4 linked regions of the Callithrix jacchus genome follow. The protein of the gene in region 1 interacts with the protein of each later gene in a pairwise test. Links are inferred from orthologs where the notes say so. Each region holds a gene or a part of one and is shown in the gene's direction. Other genes may lie near its edges.

Region 1 (4,484 bases):
GACTCGAGCCCTGATGAGGCGTGGCAGCCTGGCAGGAGGCTGGTCTCGCAGGTCTCCTGTTGGCCTGCAGTTTGTTCTTTTTTTTCAAGCATACTATTAAGAGAGCTGGGTTTCCTTCTTTGCACTATTTCAAAAGAAAGAAAAAGTCATTATTAGAAAATGCCTTTTCTTAAAGAGTCACATTGCATCTTTCCTTCTGCTCACTTGACAGCTTGCCATGGTTGCTCACCTCTCACCTCATGCAGAAGAGAAATTCCTGGGGGTGACCTTGGGTGAGCTTTCCATCAGGTGTGTCTGGTCATGGAGCAAGTCTAGGCTCTGGTGGTGGGTAGTGAGGGCTGGGAGAGGACCCAGCCTTTTCCTACAGGGAAACTCGCTGTTGGTGAAGGGGAGGCATGCTCACCCACTTGGAGGAGACTCTGGCTTTGAAAGGCTGTTGGAAAGGGAAGCCAGCATGTGGGAGGGAGCCAGGTTTTCTCATGTCTTCTTTCCATGTGTTTTGGTTCTGTGTGAAAGCAGACGTTTCTGGTTGCCAGCTTTGGCAGAAGCTGAATTCCATGAGCACTTACCAGTTACATTAGAAGCTGATTGAGACTACACCCATGCTGATTTTTAAAAGCTGTCTGATTTGTAGGTCTGAATTTTGTAAGCTTTAGAAAATGTTTATATATATAAAATATACATGTATGTATATGGGTTTTTTGAGACAGGGTCTCTGTCACCCAGCCTGGAGTGACAGTGGTATGATCTCAGCTGCAACCCAGGCTGGAGGGCAACGGTGTGATCTCTGCTCACTGTAGCCTCGACCTCCCAGGTGTGGGTAATCCTCCCACCTTAGCCTCCTGAATAGCTGGGACTACAGGTACATGCCAATAGACCCAGCTAATTTTTGTATTTTTTGCAGAGATGAGATCTCACTATGTTGCTCAGGCTGGTCTTGAACTCCTGAGCTCAAGTGATCTGCCTGCCTCGGTCTCCCAAAGTGCTGGGATTACAGGCATGAGCCACTACACCGGGCTACTGTTTTCTTTTTGTTAATTGTGGTAAAGTATGCATAACATGAAATATACCATTTCAGCTGTTTTGAAGGTACTGTTCAGTGGCATTAATATTGACACTGTTGACCATCCATCTCAGAACATTTTCGTCATCTGCATCAGAAACTGCACCTGTTCAGTAGCTCCCCGTTCTCCCCTTCCCTGGTAACCTCTATTCTGCTTTCTGCCTCTGATGTATGTGTGTGTTTAATTTAGCAGGATATGCGCTTTCATTCCAAATACTTCACGGAAGAGCTAAGAAGAATTTTTATAGAGGACACTGACTCAGAGACTGAGGATTTTACAGGATTTACACAGAGTGATCTGAATGGAAAGACTAACCCAGAAGTAATGGTAATAATTAAAACGGAAGGATGTGGGTGGTGATGTTTGTCATCCTGTTTCTGCATTAGAGTTTTACTTGTAAGAAGTCATTTCACAAATGAAAAGATTTTACTTTTTCTTACCTATCTTTCAAACTAATTAACATAACCTTAAAAAAAAACACTCCTAGAAGGCTAATCCCTGGTCCACCAGTCCATTATTCTCTTAGAGAAAATCTATTCATGTTCCCCTTGTTCCTGTGGGGCTTAGGGATGTGTCTCAGGCATCCTTTGTTGTCCTTCTCAAAATGAGCCATGCACGGTGGCTCATGGCTGTAATTTCAGCACTTTAGGGGGCCGTGGTTGGTGGATCACCTGAGGTCAGGAGTTCAAGACGAGGTTGACCAATATGGTGAAAGCGTGTCTGTACTCAAAATACAAAAATTAGCCGGGCATGGTGGCGAGTACCTGTAGTCCCAGCTACACGGGAGGCTGAGGCAGGAGAATCGCTTGAACCTGAGAGGTAGAGGTTGCAGTGAGCTGAGAGTACGCCACTGCACTCCAGCCTGCATGAAAGAGCAAGACTCCATCTCAAAAAAAAATTAAAAGAATTTATCTCAGAGTTTTCTTGAGATTCTTACTGTGTGTGAAGTGATAGTTTTTGGTTTGAAGTCAGTGTGGCAAAAATTTGGCGTGGTACAAACTTGGTGTTCCCCGTGTACTGTGGATTTGGATTTGTCATGCTTTGTAGTGTTAAAAATCACCTGCCTGGATTCTGGAGGGAAGTCTGCTCTCAGCACTTCCTATGAGCAGACTTATTAGTTGATCTCTTCATGTTATTATGCACAGTTAGGCTAGTTGACTGCCAAGTTGTGTTTGAATCTTAAGGTAACTTTAAGGCACAGCCTTTGGATTTAAGAAAAGAAATGTACTTATGCTAACTAAAAATAGCACACATTTATGCAAAAAAACAAAACAAAACATGCTACTTTCTTCTTCAGTATGAAGATGGAACGTAGAGTTTAAGCTTCTTCACAGCCAGAAGCTGCTTAGGACTAACTTTTGGCCCAGAGCCTGTATAGAGGTATAAACAAGCTGTGACTCCTAGGCTGGCCTTGTCCCTCACCTGTCCTAGGAGAGGACTTAGAGTATAAAAGCCCTCATGGTAGGTTGCTTCGTGTGATGGTGACTTTTTGCCATGAGTAGCAACATAGAATTGGGCTAGCTCGGAGGCCCCAGCTCTCCTTTGGCTTCCTTTGCAGAAGCTGTTTGTGTGGCAGTTCATTGGTTCCGGCCAGAAAGTCCTCAGTTTCTTGCAGCAAGATATTAAGATCCTTCTAAACCCCTAATGGGCATTATGTCTTAGCGACCTACTTGTCTTCTGTTCTTTAGTGAAGTGATGTCTGGTTATTTGAAGCATTTGTGTTTCTAGTGAGAGAAAATGAATTACCCCAGAAGTCTTCCCTCCCACCTGCCCCCATGTCTGTGGACTGTGATGTGTTACATAGATCATGATATGGCATACGGTTCAGCACAGGCCCCTGCAAATTTTATTTTAGAATCCAGTGAGAAGAAAAGCATGGTTGCCTCCCAGCCCAACCTCCTGCCCACCCTTGTGGGAACTGGAGAGACCATCTTTCTTGCTAAATGGGATATTGCTGTCACCTGGGTTTCCAGGGATCTGTGGTCCGGATGTGACATAGCCACATCCACGTGCTAGACTGTGCTTTACTCTCAGGTCTGATTCTGGGCTGCTGTGGACAGTTTGTTCTTCCCTTCCTCCAGGCCTCTGTAGTGAGCTGTTCCACTTCTGTCTGTGGTAAAGAGAGGCCTGTCGATGATAAGGATGGAAGATAAATGGATCAAAGCTGAAGTTCTTCCCTGACAGTGTCCCCTAAAATTGGGTTCCTTTGCACTACACTATTTTGAATTCTGAAGCTACTAATGTGGAAAGGTCAGGGTATTAAAGAAATAGAAAAATCAGTGCTGTATAGTCTTATTTCTCCCTAGGCTTTGTGTGGCTATACCAGAGTTGGCAGTCATCTGCATTTTCTTTCTCCCTCTGTCTTATTTCTAACTTTAGTCCAGCTAGAATTTGGCGGGGGGGTGATGGTGGTCACTGGGGAGGAAGCAGAGTCCCTGAACTAAGTCCTGAGTCTGTCCTGCTGCTATTCCATGTTCTTCGTAGATTTTTGGAATTCCCAGATAGCGGTTTCTTAAGTTTTCTACCTTGTGGTCATGGAAAGATGCCTAGAAGATGTCCTGGATCTCACATACTTAAACCTGTCTCGGTACCACTGCTAAGTGTCTCATCACATGTCACTTAGGTGATGTGACCCTGTTACTGCCTTCCATACTTACTAAGTTCTCACTTGTAAAGTGGAGCAGTGTTTGAGTGCTGGAGACCTATACCATGTGGAACTTGAAAACTTAGAGGAGGATTTCTTGAGTTGACTAAGTGATGTGTTGCTACAACCTGTAGCTCTCTGACTTGATTTCACCCCATGGCTCTGAGGGTTCCAGAGAAGGGAAGGGTGCCCCTTGACTGAGGACCCAGTGGCAGGTCATCAGCCTGTCCTGGGTCACTGCCTTGAGGTGCAGTCAGCTCTCCTGCCCTCTTACTTGGAAGTTTGGTTCCTGCTATTTGAGGAGACCAGTCAGCACTTTTTCCCCTTAGCACCATTGCTTCTCTGCAGATCACATCTGTCGTGAATACCCTTTTCTGTGACTGTCTCTCCTCTTGCTGGTGCTCCTTGGTCTTCCCATGGTGGAGGAACCCACCCTGTCCGTGTTTGGCTTACAGCTGATGCTCCAAATGGACCCAGTTCTGTGCTGGGTTTGATGGTCCACAGTTCAGTTGTAGATTATTTCATTTTATTCATCAACCAATTTCTTGCACATTTAAAAGAAATTCAGAGGAAACTCAAAATTCGAAGGGGAATCTTTTCATTTCTCATGTTTTTTCTCATATACTACCAGAGTTGTTTTAAATGCATGTCTTTTTTGTTTGTCTGAAACGGTGTCTTTGTGCTTTTTCTTGCTCTTATTTTATTAGCTCGTGGAGTCAGATTTGAGTGACGACGGCAAAGCATCTTTGGTGAGTGAGGAAGAGGAAGATGAAGAA
Region 2 (4,129 bases), on another chromosome or scaffold:
ACGGCAGTGCCTGAGGCCTGGGGAGAGCCCTGCGCTGCTGTGGTCTGGAAGGGCGGGGTAATAGGGGCCTGGGGGCTCCTATGGCCTCCCCCAACATCCCGACTGACCTGACCCATGTTCCTGAGCTCCTAGCTGGAGCACCCCCCAACTGGTCAGAATGGGGAGCCTCAGGCCTTGGGGGCTGAGCTGCTACCCCCTGCAGTTCGTGGAGGAGAAGGAGATGTTGGAGCTGCAGTGTCGGGCCCTGCGCAAGGACTGCAAGGTGTACAAGGACCGCATCGAGGCCATCCTGTTGCAGATGGAGGAGGTCGCTGTCGAGCGGGACCAGGTGGGTGCTCACGGTGGGGGCTGGGGAACAGAGTGCCCCATTCGAGGTGGGTGCACCAGGGCCACAGGCCTTGAGGGCAGTTGTCAGAGGGTTTTTAATCTTTATTTTGTTATTTTTGAGATGGGGTCTCGCTATGTCACCCAGGCTGGCCTCAAACTACTGGCCTCAAGCAAATCCTCTGGCCTCAGCTTCCCAAAGCGCTGGGATTGCAGGTTAAGCCAACACACTGACCTGTTTTTTAAGTAACAGAAGGAATATCTAACACTAAAAAAAAAGTAAACTGATGAAGTCAATACTCCCTCATCCCAGCCTGCTGTCAGGGGAAACTTCTACCATCCCGCTCCATCTTAACAGATATTCCCCTCCCCTCCCCCCCTTCCCCTCCCTGCCATCTTCTTCCTTCCTTTCTCTTTCTTTTTTCTTTTCTGCTTTCTTTTTTTTTTTCTTTTTTGAGCCAGAGTTTCGCTCTTGTCACCCAGGCTGGAGTGCAATGGCGCAATCTTGGCTCGCCGCAACCTCTGCCTTCTGGGTTCAGGCAATTCTCCTGCCTCAGCCTCCTGAGTAGCTGGGATTACAGGCACGCCACACCATGCCCAGCTAATTTTTGTATTTTTAGTAGAGACGGGGTTTCACCATGTTAACCAGGATGGTCTCGATCTCTTGACCTCGTGATCCACCCGTCTCAGCCTCCCAAAGTGCTGGGATTACAGGCTTGAGCCACCACGCCCGGCCTCTTTTTTGCTTTCTTCCCTTCCTCCCTTCCTCCCTCTTTCTTTCTTTTTTTCCCCTTTAACATGGATCATAGGAAAGAACCTTTTTTTTTTTTTTTTTGCTTTTGTTTTATGAAAATGGAAGCCTTCTGTCTTGTTTTACCAGTAGCTTTTTTTTTTTTTTTTTTTACTTTTAATTTGTCTTACCAGTAGCTTTTTTTAATCTTGAAAAACAATCTTGGCTGGATGGGGTGGCTCAACCCTGTAATCCCAACAGTCTGGAAGGGCGAGGTGGGTAGATCACTTGAGGTCAGGAGTTTGAGACCAGCCTGGCCAGCATGGTGAAACGCTTTCTCTACTAAAAATACAAAAATTAGCCAGGCATATTGGTGGGCACCTGTAATCCCAGCTACTCAAAAGACTGAGGCAGGAGAATCACTTGAATCCAGGAGGCGGTGGTTGCAGTGAGCTGAGATCGTGCCACTGCACTCCAGCCTGGGTGACAGAGTGAGGCTCCATCTAAAAAAAAAAAAAAAATTTGACATGGTGGCCCACGCCTGTGGCCCCAGATATTTGAGAGGCTGAGGCGGCAGCAAGGACAGGGCTGTGTCTGCTTCCCAGGTCCCGTCCCAAGTCCCATTCTGAGGTTGTTTCTGATGGACACCATTGCTGCTTCAGCGAATGCTGGACTGTGGTTTGCCTGAATCAGGAGCCTTAAAACGAGACCCCTGGGGCCATAAAGGAAGCCCCTGCCCCCGAGAGAGAAGCTCAGGCTTGGAGCTCCTGTAGGGGCCCCACCACAGCCTCACTCACACCTAGCCCACCCCAAGTTGGAGAAGAAAGGGCAGGTTCAGCTGTGCTGCGTGGGGGTTGGGGCTGCTCCCGAGACAGGACCTCCCTTGGGGCTGTGCAGGGAGGGGGAGTGGGCAGGGATTAGGGAAGCTGAGTGGGCAGGCGTTAGGTGAGGCCCTCTCAGCCTCTGCTGCGTGGGTGGTCAGGCCGTCTTCTGTCTGCATGTTTGCTCCTGTGCCTCAGCGTCTGCGGCAGGGACAGGGATGGTAAAGCATGCTGCGTTCATGAAGGAGTTTTAGCTATGGAGGGTCAGGTTCTCCATATCAAGCTGCATCCAAAATTCATCCCGTGTGCATGTGTAGGGGTGCATAGCACACGCTGTGTCCACCGGGGGTGCAGGCATGGGAGGAGACAGAGGAGGGCTGCAGGGCCTATTCTGAGGGTGAGCCTTCCTTATATTGTTTTAAGTGTCACCTTTACAATCCCTCAAATGCTGGCTTCATGTCCGCAGAGCACAAAAAGGGAGGGACTGGGGCTGGCCACTGCAGCCAGCGGCTGGATGTCCTCGGGGCCTGTGCTGGGAGTTGGGTGGTCAGGCTAAGGACCCAGGGTGAGCTTGGGGCCTCACTGAGGGTTGGTCTTGCACTGTCCTGTCAGGCCATCGCCACACGGGAGGAGCTGCACACCCTGCACGCCCGGGGCCTTCAGGAGAAGGACGTGCTGCGCAAGCACGTGCGGGAGCTGGGCGAGAAGGCTGATGAGCTGCAGCTGCAGCTGTTCCAGCGTGAGGCGCAGCTCCTGGCCGTGGAGGGCAGGCTCAGGCGGCAGCAGCTGGAGATGCTCGTCCTGGTGGGCCTGGTGCATGGGGCAGGGAGGGGAGCTGAGGGGGTACAGGGCTCGGGGAGCATGGAGCCTCAGGATACCCTGGCCCTGGCCTTCCTTACCCAATCCTCCTCTGTGATGGGCCCCAACCTAACGGAGCCCCTCCTCGAAGGGGGGTGAGGGCAGAGGGGCAGATTGGGGCCCCAGTAGGAAGTGGGCTGCAGGGCTGGGGTGGGGCCTGGGCCTGGCCATCAGGTAGCCTAGCAGGTGGTTCTGTTCATGGAGGGGGTTGTTGTGGCTGAGGGCATGCCCAGGGCCCCCCGGAGGATCCCACTCTTGTTCCCTGTCCACTCCATGTCTGGGGAGCCCTAGGCCCTCACAGCCTGCCTACTCACCCCATTTTCTATGACCGCAGAGCTCCGACCTGGAGGATGGCTCACCTAGGAGCTCCCAGGAGGTGAGTGAGACCCCAGCCAGCATAGGGCTGCCCCTCCTTCACCTGAGCTGCCACCAGGCATAACCCCACACTTCCCGTCACATGGTCCTCCTTGGTGGCCAGGCTGGGTGGAGGAAGAGCAAGCAGCCACACACTAAGGCCTCCGACAGCTCAAAGGGTAAGGACAGTGCCCACCTCCTGGCACCCTCATGGCAGGACCTTCCTGGCTGGGTGCCTGAGTCGCTGAGAAGCTCTGTGCAGGGGGTGACAGCGATGGCCAAGAGCTGGGGTGGGCAGTGTGGCCAGGTCCAGTCCCTGGCAGAGGGGCCTAACAGGACATCTCGCTTCTCTTCCGAAGCTCTCGCTCCCCCAGGACCTGGAGGAGGACACCCAGCTCTCAGACAAAGGTGAGGAGGTGATGGCTGTGCACCCGGAGGCCTCCCAGCTGCCCCAAGCGAGGCCCATCTTCAGTGCAGGCAGCCGTGCGTGACACACGCCTGTCTCGGCCTCTACCACCCTCACTCCACAGATGGGGAAGCTGGGGCTGGGGGATAAGTAAAATGGACATGGCACCCAGAGAACAGACCAGAGTCCAGTTGGAACCCAGGGCCCTGGTTGGTGGGACAAGTGTTCCCTGTGGTGGGGAGTGTGGTGCCCCTTAGGGCAGCCCCCACGGTGCAGAGTCCTGCCTGCTCCAAGCTTCCTCTTGGGCAGAGAGAGGTGGCAATGAGCAAATGCCCAGGTGCACGAGGCTAGGGGTGAGAAAGAAAGTAGGGTGAGACGGGACTCCCTGGGGCTTGAGGGACAGGGCCCAATGAAGGGGTGGCCAAGGGCCTGCTGTGTCCCGGGGCCATGGGGCGGGGCAGTGTCGGGGGCTTCTAGCGGTGGGGCAGGACCCCTCTGCCTGTCTGGAGAAGGACTGGGGTTGCTAGCTGGGAGCAGCCTGAGTGCCCAGAGTGGGCCGTGGTTATGGGGTAGGTGTTTGCTCTGAATGTGGTATCAGGCAGGGGTCGGGGAGGGCCCGGGGGAGGGGCCCTGGGA
Region 3 (4,939 bases), on another chromosome or scaffold:
TGTAGAATATAAGCAGGAGGGGAAAAGACACCCAAATAAACTGAATTCCATGCAGATTGCATAGGTGATTCTTTAAACAATAAGGATCAAACAAAATCACAAAACTACCTTGTTAAAACTTTCCTTATGCTGTTAGCATAAAATCTAATCTCTCTCTCTCTCTTTTTTTTTTTTTTTGAGATAGAGTCTTGCTCTGTCACTCAGGCTGGAGTACAGTGGTGTAATCTCACCTCACTACAGCCTCTGTCTCCTGGGTTCAAGGGATTCTCCCGCCTCAGCTTCCCAAATAGCTAGGATTAGAGGCTAACCATGCCTGGCTAATTTTTGTATTTTTTAGTAGAGATGGGGTTTCACCACGTTGGCCAGGCTGGTCTCAAACTCCTGACCTCAAGTGATCTGCCCGCCTTGGCCTCCTAAAGTGCTGGGATTATAGGCGTGAGCCACCACGCCCAGCCACGCCTGGCCAAAATCCAATCTCTTTACCTTGGCACACAAGGCCCATTATGAAACCTCTCCCTCTAGTAGGCATTGTACTAGGCTTGGAGGATACAGTAGTGAACATGACATACACACATCCTGCTTGCATGGAGCTTGCAGTCTAGTAAATAAGGCTGTCAAGAAACAAATAGTCAACCATTAAACACAAAATTACAGATTGAGATATATACACAGTAAAGAATAATGAGGAGAGAGTTTGCTTACTTTGACTGAGGGTGAGTTGAAGAAGCCATTCTAAGAAAGTGACATTTGAGACCGGAAAGATGAGAGAGTTGGATGAGATGTGGGGCTGATAGCTAGACAGAAGGGGAGAGGATTTGTCACTTTGAGGAATAAGAATAATTTCTGTATAGTTGGAGACAGTGGAGTTAGGATGGGGACCAAAATTATAACTATGAAGGGCATATAAATATAATACAACATATAAATATAAATATAAAGGGCAGGGCTTATGGAGAAAGGTTTAATTTCCTTTGAAGATGGAGCCTTACATCCCAGGAGATTAAGATGCACAATTTGAATGATACTCTTCCAATTATGGGCAACTTTCTCCTCCAGAAACCTTTTTATATCGCCTGGGTAGCACCAGGTTCATCTAGTTACTGTCAGACTTTGCATAGATGAATAGACAGATGTCTAGAGAGGGACATGTGATCCAACAGTTTCTCAGCCAGTAATAGTTGTACAGCCTTGGGACAAGTCACATTTTGAGCCAGCCCTGTCTGATAGAAATTAGTGGAAACCACAAATGAGAGCCACATGTGTAATTTAAAATTTTCTACTAACCACATTTAAGAAGTAAAAGGAAACAGGTAAAATTCATTTTATAATATATTTATTTGACCCAATCTGGTGTGTATTTTATTTACACTTACAGCACATCTCACTTTGGAGTAGCCATATGTCAAGCTCTCGGTAACACGTGGCTACTGGGTTAAAGTATTGGATGGTGCAGTTGGGAGCATCAGTTTCCTTTTCTGTGAAATGAGGACAAGTCACTTCAAATACTACGGAGAGCGCACACTAAGCACCCAGCGCTCCGCTCTGGACACGGGGGGCGCGGAATCAAGTTTGGTTTCTTTCGGTTTCTGCTCTTCTCCTCCAGTCCCTCCTCTAAGTCTCCGCCCCTTTCCCCGCCCCCTCAGGTTATAGGCGGAAGCAGCCAGGTTCCAAATACAGCACACTTTACGGCGGCGCGGCCTTTTACCGCGGTGTGGCCTGCTCGCTTGTCGCGCGCGCTTCTGCTCTATTGGCTCTGAGGCCCCGCTCGCTGCACTTTACGGCAGTGTGGCTGGAGCCGCGGCAGACGGGCCCGTGGTCTGGCCGTGAGTGGAGGGGACCGGATTTGCTGGGTCGGGTACCATGGACGTGGGCGAACTTCTGAGCTACCAGGTATGAGGGGCAGGGAGGGCCGAGCGACCGCCTTCTCACTTGGGCAAGGGTCGCAGGGGCCAGAGCCCCTTCATCTCACCTCCTTTCGCCTAGCTCCCGGGCCCCCTAACTTCTCAAGTCACCTGGAGTCCTAGCCCCTCGTTTTACTTTCCTCCCGAGGCCCTCCTGGGCCCTTTCGATTCGTCCCTTCTCAAGACCTGAGCCTCTCACCTCCTCTTCCTCACCCCGGGGCCTGGTTCCCTGAAACTCCTCTGAAACCCCAGACTATCCCGTTTTCCCAGCCATGTCCACTCAGCTCTCATGTCCCCCCAGTCATTGAGGTGATGGTGGTGGTCATGGTGGGAGCGCACTTGGATCTCTCTTGGGTTTGAGCTCCAGCTTCTCCACTGACTGGCTGTGTGGATTTTGGACAAGTCATATCCCCCTCTTTGAAACAGGTTTTTGTGTCTATGTGGTGGAGACACTAATAGCTGCCTTAGTAGGGTTGTTTGAGGACTGTACCAACTGATGGATATGAAAGCTGGTTTTAAAGTGTGGAAAGCTGTGCTTGTGTTTACTGCGATTTGGAGGAGATGTTGGGAATTCTAGGAATGGAACTGAGTTTCTAGGAATCTTGCTCAGGGCCCCCCGTTGCATAGGATACTTGTGGGGAAACTGTGAGGGACCTAGAGAGCAAAAAGGATTTGTCCGGTCACTCAGAAACAAGGAGCTGGAATTTGAGCTCAGGTGTCTTGACTTCCACCCCAAAGGGTCCCCCCGGTCCCCCGCTTTGATTCCACAGTAGGCTCATTGTGAGGGGCAATAGAGCTGCACTGCCCAGTGTGGTAGCTACCACATAGGCTGTTGAATGCTTGAAATGTGACTAGTCTGAATTGAGAAGTACTGTAAGTGTAAAGTTACATTTAGGTTGGAGACTAGTATGAAAAAGTAACATTTTTGTATTGATTACATGATCGTACTGATTATATTAATTACATTGGTTATTGGTCATATTGATTAAATGATCATATTTTGGATAATGGGTGAAATAAAATATACTTAATTTTTAATTTATTTTATTGTTATCTAGAGACAGGATATTGCTCTGTCGCCCAGGCTGGAGTGCAGTGGCACAATCATTGCTCACAGTAGCCTTAAACTCCTAGGTCTAAGGTATCCTTCCCAGTAGCTAGGACTGCAGGCGGGCATTACTATGTTTGGCTGATTTTTAAATTTTTTGTAGAGACAGGGTCTTGCTATGTTGCCCAAGCTGGTCTCAAACTCCTGGCGTTAAGTGATCTTCCCATTTGGCCTCCTAAAGTGCTGGGATTACAGGTGTGAGTCACCACACACCACACCCAGCAAATAAAATATGCTTAAAACCAATTTTTTTTTTTAGTGCAGTGGCACAATCACTGCAACCCCCGCCTCCCGGGTTCAGGCATTTCTCCTGCCTCAGCCTCCTGAGTAGCTGGGATTGCAGGCCTGCGCCACTACACCCAGCTAAGTTTCGTATTTTTAGTAGAGACGAGGTTTCACCATGTTGGCTAGGCTGGTCTTGAACTCCTGACCTCAGGTGATCTGCTTGCCTCGGCCTCCTAAAGTGCTGGGATTACAGGCGCGAGCCACCATGCCCGGCCTTCAAACCAATTTTAACTGCTCCCCTTGACGTGTTAATGTGTTTACTAGAAAATTCAAAATCACGTAGGTAGTTCAGCTTACATTTTTGTTGGACAGCTCTGCAGTCACGAATAGGTGATTAAGAGCCATGAGTCTGGACCCCTAGGTTGCTGGCAGTCTCTGGTTTGCTACTAACTGGCTGCTATAAATTTGAACAAAATACTTAACTTCTCTATGCCTTGGTTTCCTCATCTTAAATGGGGGGAAATGACAGTAGCTGCCTCACAGGGCTGTTGTGAAGCTGTTGAGAAATGTAAAGTGCTTAGGCAATGCTTGCCAAAAAGTAAACATTCAGTAAATATAAGCAGTTATTTTCCCACCACTCCCTCAGCCAACATACGAGAAATTGACCCCGGACACTTAAGACATCATGGGAAAGAACAATTAAGCAATGGAGAGCTGTAGAGCCAAGAGAATTTTCTTTTAAAGACAGTTTAATTGATAGTGAAAGACAAAGGGAATTAGGCATGTTGTTGAATGAGTGATTGTATGCTTGCTTGGAATTTCTAGAAGGGCTAGCCCATTAAAGCTAGAAAAGGCTGGGCTTGGTGGCTCACGCCTGTAATCCCAGGACTTTAGGAGACCAAGGTGGGTGGATCATGAGGTCAGGTGATCAAGACCATCCTGGCCGATGTGGTGAAACCCCGTGTTTACTAAAATATACAAAATTAGCTGGGTGTGGTGGTCCACACCTGTAGTCCCAGCTACTCGGAAGGCTGAGGCAGGGGAATCTCACTTGAAGCCAGGAGGTGGAGATTGCAGTGAGCTGAGATTAGGCCACTGCACTCCAGCCTGGTGACAGAGCAAGACTCCGTCTCAAAAAAGAAAAAAATTCATTTGCTTAACACCTACTATGTTGCTCAACAAATATATATTGAACACCTACTGTGTGCAAGGCAGTCTATCCACTGGGTATATAACACTGAATAAAAGGCAAGATTCTTGCTTTTGTGGAGCATCTGGTGGGAAGTTACAAGATACTAAGTAAACAAGACGTTCAGATTGTGGTAAGTGCTAGGAGGGAATATAGTAGAGTATGATATAAAATTGCACTGCTTGGTATAGTAGCCTTTAGGCACGTGTGATTATTGAACACTTAAAAATGTGACTCGTTTCTAACTTAGATCTGCTGCATGTGTAAAATACACACTGGATTTCAAAGATTTAGTATGAAAATAATGTAAAATATCTTACCTTTTATGCTGATTACACATTGAATAAATGTCAACACTTAGGATATATTGGATTAAAGAAAATATATTATTAAAATTAATGTTACCTTTTAAAAAAACTTTTAAAATGTGGCTACTAGAAAATGTAAAGTTAGATAGGTGTTTTGCTTGTGGCTTTTTTTTGTGTTTTTGTTGGACAGCACTCCTGTAGAGAATAA
Region 4 (3,766 bases), on another chromosome or scaffold:
CCAGGGAGATGGGTCAGTGTTCCTGGGTGTGTTGCCCCGGTGGCCTGTGTCTGAGCCCTGCCCCCTACGGCTCTCTCTGCAGGTTCTCCCATGGGCAGCTGGTCTCTGTGGATGAGCTGCGCCCCTTCCAGGACCCAGACCTGAGCTCCCTGCAGGCTGGCTCTGCGTGTCTAGCCAAGCACCAGGATGGCCTCTGGCACGCAGCTCGCATCACCGGTGAGGCTGGCCGTGGAGGCCTCCCAGCAACACCCTCCCATGCGTCACATGTGTTACTACTGGGTGGCTACTCCCTGCCCCCTTTGTGTTGAGTGTCAGGACTCTGGCTCTGTGCCAGCAATGAGCACATCTGCCCTCAGCCTCTGCCCTGCCTTGTTCCCAATGTCCCGCATGGCTCCTGAGCAGTGGCACCTGCTGTTGTCAGGGATGCTGACCTGCAGTTTGTCTCTGCCCCCAGATGTGGACAGTGGCTACTACACAGTCAAGTTTGACTCGCTGCTGCTGAGGGAGGCCGTGGTTGAGGGGGACAGTGTCCTTCCCCCGCTGCGCACAGAGGCCACAGAGTCCTCCGACTCAGACAGCGATGGCACGGGCGACTCCAGCTATGCCAGAGGTATGGCAGCAGCTGAAGGGCCCAAGAGGCAGGAAGGTGGGGTCACCAACCACTGCAGAGTGTGGACTACAGCGAGGCTGCTGTGCTCAGCACAGGTGGCAGCTGTGCCTGGGGAGGCAGTGTGGGGTCAGGGTGCAGGAGCATGAGTGAAGGCCGGGGTAGATCCATTGTGACCTTTGACTTGAAGGAGTGTGAGGGTGCAACAGCTACAGCCTCACTGATGGGAGGCCGTGGCCGTGGGAGGAGGGGCCTAGAGTTCCCAAGGAAGTTACAGAAATGACCAACTGCTGGGGCCTGGAGTGCAAGAGGGACAGCTTCTTTGAAAGGCTTCTCAGACTTGGGACCTGGGTACCCGGTGGAGCCTAGCAGACAGAGGTTGTGTCTGGGCAGCTAGAGTGGAAGTTTCGGGACTGGGAACTGGTGGGCAGTGTCCAGCTCTCCAGAGTGGTCAATTAGACAGGGAGGTGTACCCAGGGATCAGTGATGTGAGTTGGTGACTTCTGAAGCCCCATGTTCCCATTGAAGGAGGAGTTGACCGAGGACTCTGAGGGCAGGTAGGAGCTCATGGCCCCGCAAAGGCGGAGAAGGGCAGGGGCAGGAGAGGGCTGTAAAGGAAGGGCCACGGTGCACCAGGCCATGGGGACTGCCACGAACTCTGCCTGGTGTCACATGCCCACAGCAGACCTCGGTGACAGAGTGCAGAGCCCAAGAGGTGGGGTGTTGGGGCTCTGCCCAGGAGCTAAGCTCATGGGCCAGAGCCCCAGTCACGATGCACAGTCCTCTGGCCTGGCCCAGCCACTGCCCTCTGTCCCATCTTTTGCAGTGGTGGGGTCAGACACTGTGGACTCCGGGACCTGCAGCTCTGCTTTTGCTGGCTGGGAGGTACACACGCGAGGCATAGGCTCCAGACTCCTCGCCAAGATGGGCTATGAGTTTGGCAAGGGTGAGTGCCCGCTTTCCTTGAGAGGTGGGGGTTGGCTGCAGCACAGCTGGGGTCCCACAGCACACAGCAATACCATCCCCTCAGGTTTGGGCCGACACGCCGAAGGCCGGGTGGAGCCCATCCACGCCGTGGTGCTGCCTCGAGGGAAGTCGCTGGACCAGTGTGCAGAGATCCTGCAGAAGCGGACCAGGGTTGGCAAGGCTGGCACCAAGCCCCCCAGATGCCGCAGAAGAGGGGCCAGGGCTGGGGGCCGCCTACCCCCGCGGAACGTGTTTGACTTCCTCAATGAAAAGCTGCAAGGCCAGGCTCCTGGGGCCCTGGAGGCTGGGGTGGCCCCCTCAGGGAGAAGGAGCAAGGATATGTACCGTGCCAGCAAGAGCACCAAGCGGGCCCTGAGCCTGCGGCTCTTCCAGACCGAGGAGAAGATCGAGCGAACCCAGCGGGACATCAGGAGCATCCAGGAGGCCCTTGCCCGCAATGCTGGCCGGTATGTGTGGGGCAGAGGGCAGCCCAGGGTGGCCATGCCTCCAGTACACGTGCGGGAGGTCACCTGACCCAGGTGTGGTGGGCGGAGTCCAGGAGGGGTCTGGATGTTGGAGGACGTGTGGTGGGCACGGCAGCCTGGGATTGGTGGCAGTGGCCCAGGAGCCACACTGACTGGTGGGCCCCTCCCCAGGCATAGCGTTGCGTCAGCCCAGCTGCAGGAGAAGCTGGCGGGAGCCCAGCGGCAGCTGGGGCAGCTCCGGGCTCAGGAAGCGGGCCTGCAGCAGGAGCAGAGGAAGGCAGACACCCACAAGAAGATGACTGAGTTCTAGAGACCCACAAGCACTATGGGGAAGGTGGACCCAGCGCGGGCTGCCCTCCGCACTGGAAAACCCATGTTGCCCAAGGAGGACTGGCCTGCTGGCCTGGGGCATGCAGACGCTGCTGAGTGGAGACAGGGCTGCAGGGCCCCATCTGGACAATTACCTGCCTGTCTGCCAGTGTCTTGGGCATTTCCTTGGCAAGGACATTAAAGAGTTTTCCATCACAGTGTCATTCAGTGGAGATCAGCTGGCTGCAGGGCCTCTGGGAAGAGAAGGGTCTGTGCGGGGCTGTGGTGAGAGGCTGACTGGGCTGCAGGGGCCTAGGAGGCCAGCGTTCTCTCTTCTCTGACCAAGGCGGATCAGAGGCCAGGTTGCCTGCCAGGCACAGATGGGCAGAGCTGCCTGACACCCACAGATGGGTGGAGCTCAGTGCTGCTCCAGCAGGCGAGGGTGGGAGGACTGTGGCCCACCATGTGGGGCTCTTGGTGAGGCAGGTGGACCTGGTCTGTGGGTTCTGTGCCAGCTCTACTCACCTCTCCATGTGTGGAGGGGTTGTGAGTTAGGCTCTCAACAGTGCAGGCTAGAGGCACACACGTTTCCTCTAGGCCTCGGGTAGGGTGCAACAGGTGGGTGAGGCTGCGGTGGTGGCTGCTGCCCAGGGTGGGAGGCTGCAGGGGAGGCGCTCGGAGACGTACAGGAAGTGATGAGATGGGGCGTTCAGCTGAAGGCTGCACAGAGACCTTCCTAGCCTACGCCAGCAGAGCTGAGGAGCTCTGGCTGTGGGTTTGGTAAGTGCTTGGGCAGGTCCCCAAGTGCCCTCCTGGGGTGCCGCTGGGGTCTGGTGGGGCTGTCCTTGGGATGTGGCTGTGGTTGGGTCAGTCAGCTGGGCTGAAGCCCACTGCCTGGGTCTGGGCAGACTGGCCTTAAACTCCAGAGACCACCCTCACCTCCCAGAAGCTCTGCCAAGCCCCAGGAAAGGCACAGATCCTTTGGCAGAGACAGTGGCAGACAAGAAGAGCCAGAGAGAAGTGGGGTGGGGGCACTCAGCAACCCCAGTAGCTGCTGCTGCCTGCTGACCCAGCCTCCAGCCCCTCCGGAGAAGCGTGCAGGTGCACACTGATGGGAGGCCGTGGCCGTGGGAGGAGGGGCCTAGAGTTGCCAAGGAAGTCACAGAAATGACCAACTGATGGGGCCTGGAGTGCAAGAGGGACAGCTTTGAATGGCTTCTCAGACTTGATCCAGCAGGGTCCCTCCTGCTGACCAGTCTCCAGCCCCACCTGGTTCTGGGCTCCAGTGGCCTGGAGGAGGCACTACTTGACACAAGAGGCTGCGTCTGGACAGGGCTGGCCACAGGTGGAGTCTGGCCTGCGGTGCACACCTAGGGCCTCCCCCTGATGCTGGGGTTTG

Evidence for each region.
Region 2: the proteins of CDCA7L (region 1) and CARD9 interact in binary tests that used the Homo sapiens proteins (3 or more experiments, as listed by UniProt). The link is inferred for Callithrix jacchus from reciprocal best matches to the Homo sapiens genes CDCA7L and CARD9.
Region 3: the proteins of CDCA7L (region 1) and CTNNBL1 interact in binary tests that used the Homo sapiens proteins (3 or more experiments, as listed by UniProt). The link is inferred for Callithrix jacchus from reciprocal best matches to the Homo sapiens genes CDCA7L and CTNNBL1.
Region 4: the proteins of CDCA7L (region 1) and ZGPAT interact in binary tests that used the Homo sapiens proteins (3 or more experiments, as listed by UniProt). The two-hybrid records come from large-scale screens. The link is inferred for Callithrix jacchus from reciprocal best matches to the Homo sapiens genes CDCA7L and ZGPAT.

Annotation. Positions count from the first base shown.
Region 1 is NC_133512.1:36,238,839-36,243,322, forward strand, and holds part of CDCA7L (cell division cycle-associated 7-like protein), read left to right. Parts: intron 1-1,253; coding exon 1,254-1,391; intron 1,392-4,415; coding exon 4,416-4,484. UniProt on the Homo sapiens protein: Plays a role in transcriptional regulation as a repressor that inhibits monoamine oxidase A (MAOA) activity and gene expression by binding to the promoter.
Region 2 is NC_133502.1:184,840,645-184,844,773, reverse strand, and holds part of CARD9 (caspase recruitment domain-containing protein 9), read left to right. Parts: intron 1-202; coding exon 203-328; intron 329-2,487; coding exon 2,488-2,679; intron 2,680-3,067; coding exon 3,068-3,109; intron 3,110-3,446; coding exon 3,447-3,495; intron 3,496-4,129. UniProt on the Homo sapiens protein: Adapter protein that plays a key role in innate immune response against fungi by forming signaling complexes downstream of C-type lectin receptors.
Region 3 is NC_133506.1:33,129,916-33,134,854, forward strand, and holds the start of CTNNBL1 (beta-catenin-like protein 1), read left to right. Parts: upstream 1-1,802; 5' UTR 1,803-1,860; coding exon 1,861-1,890; intron 1,891-4,939. UniProt on the Homo sapiens protein: Component of the PRP19-CDC5L complex that forms an integral part of the spliceosome and is required for activating pre-mRNA splicing.
Region 4 is NC_133506.1:59,225,716-59,229,481, forward strand, and holds the end of ZGPAT (zinc finger CCCH-type with G patch domain-containing protein), read left to right. Parts: intron 1-82; coding exon 83-216; intron 217-454; coding exon 455-610; intron 611-1,433; coding exon 1,434-1,553; intron 1,554-1,637; coding exon 1,638-2,040; intron 2,041-2,229; coding exon 2,230-2,368; 3' UTR 2,369-2,583; downstream 2,584-3,766. UniProt on the Homo sapiens protein: Transcription repressor that specifically binds the 5'-GGAG[GA]A[GA]A-3' consensus sequence. Represses transcription by recruiting the chromatin multiprotein complex NuRD to target promoters.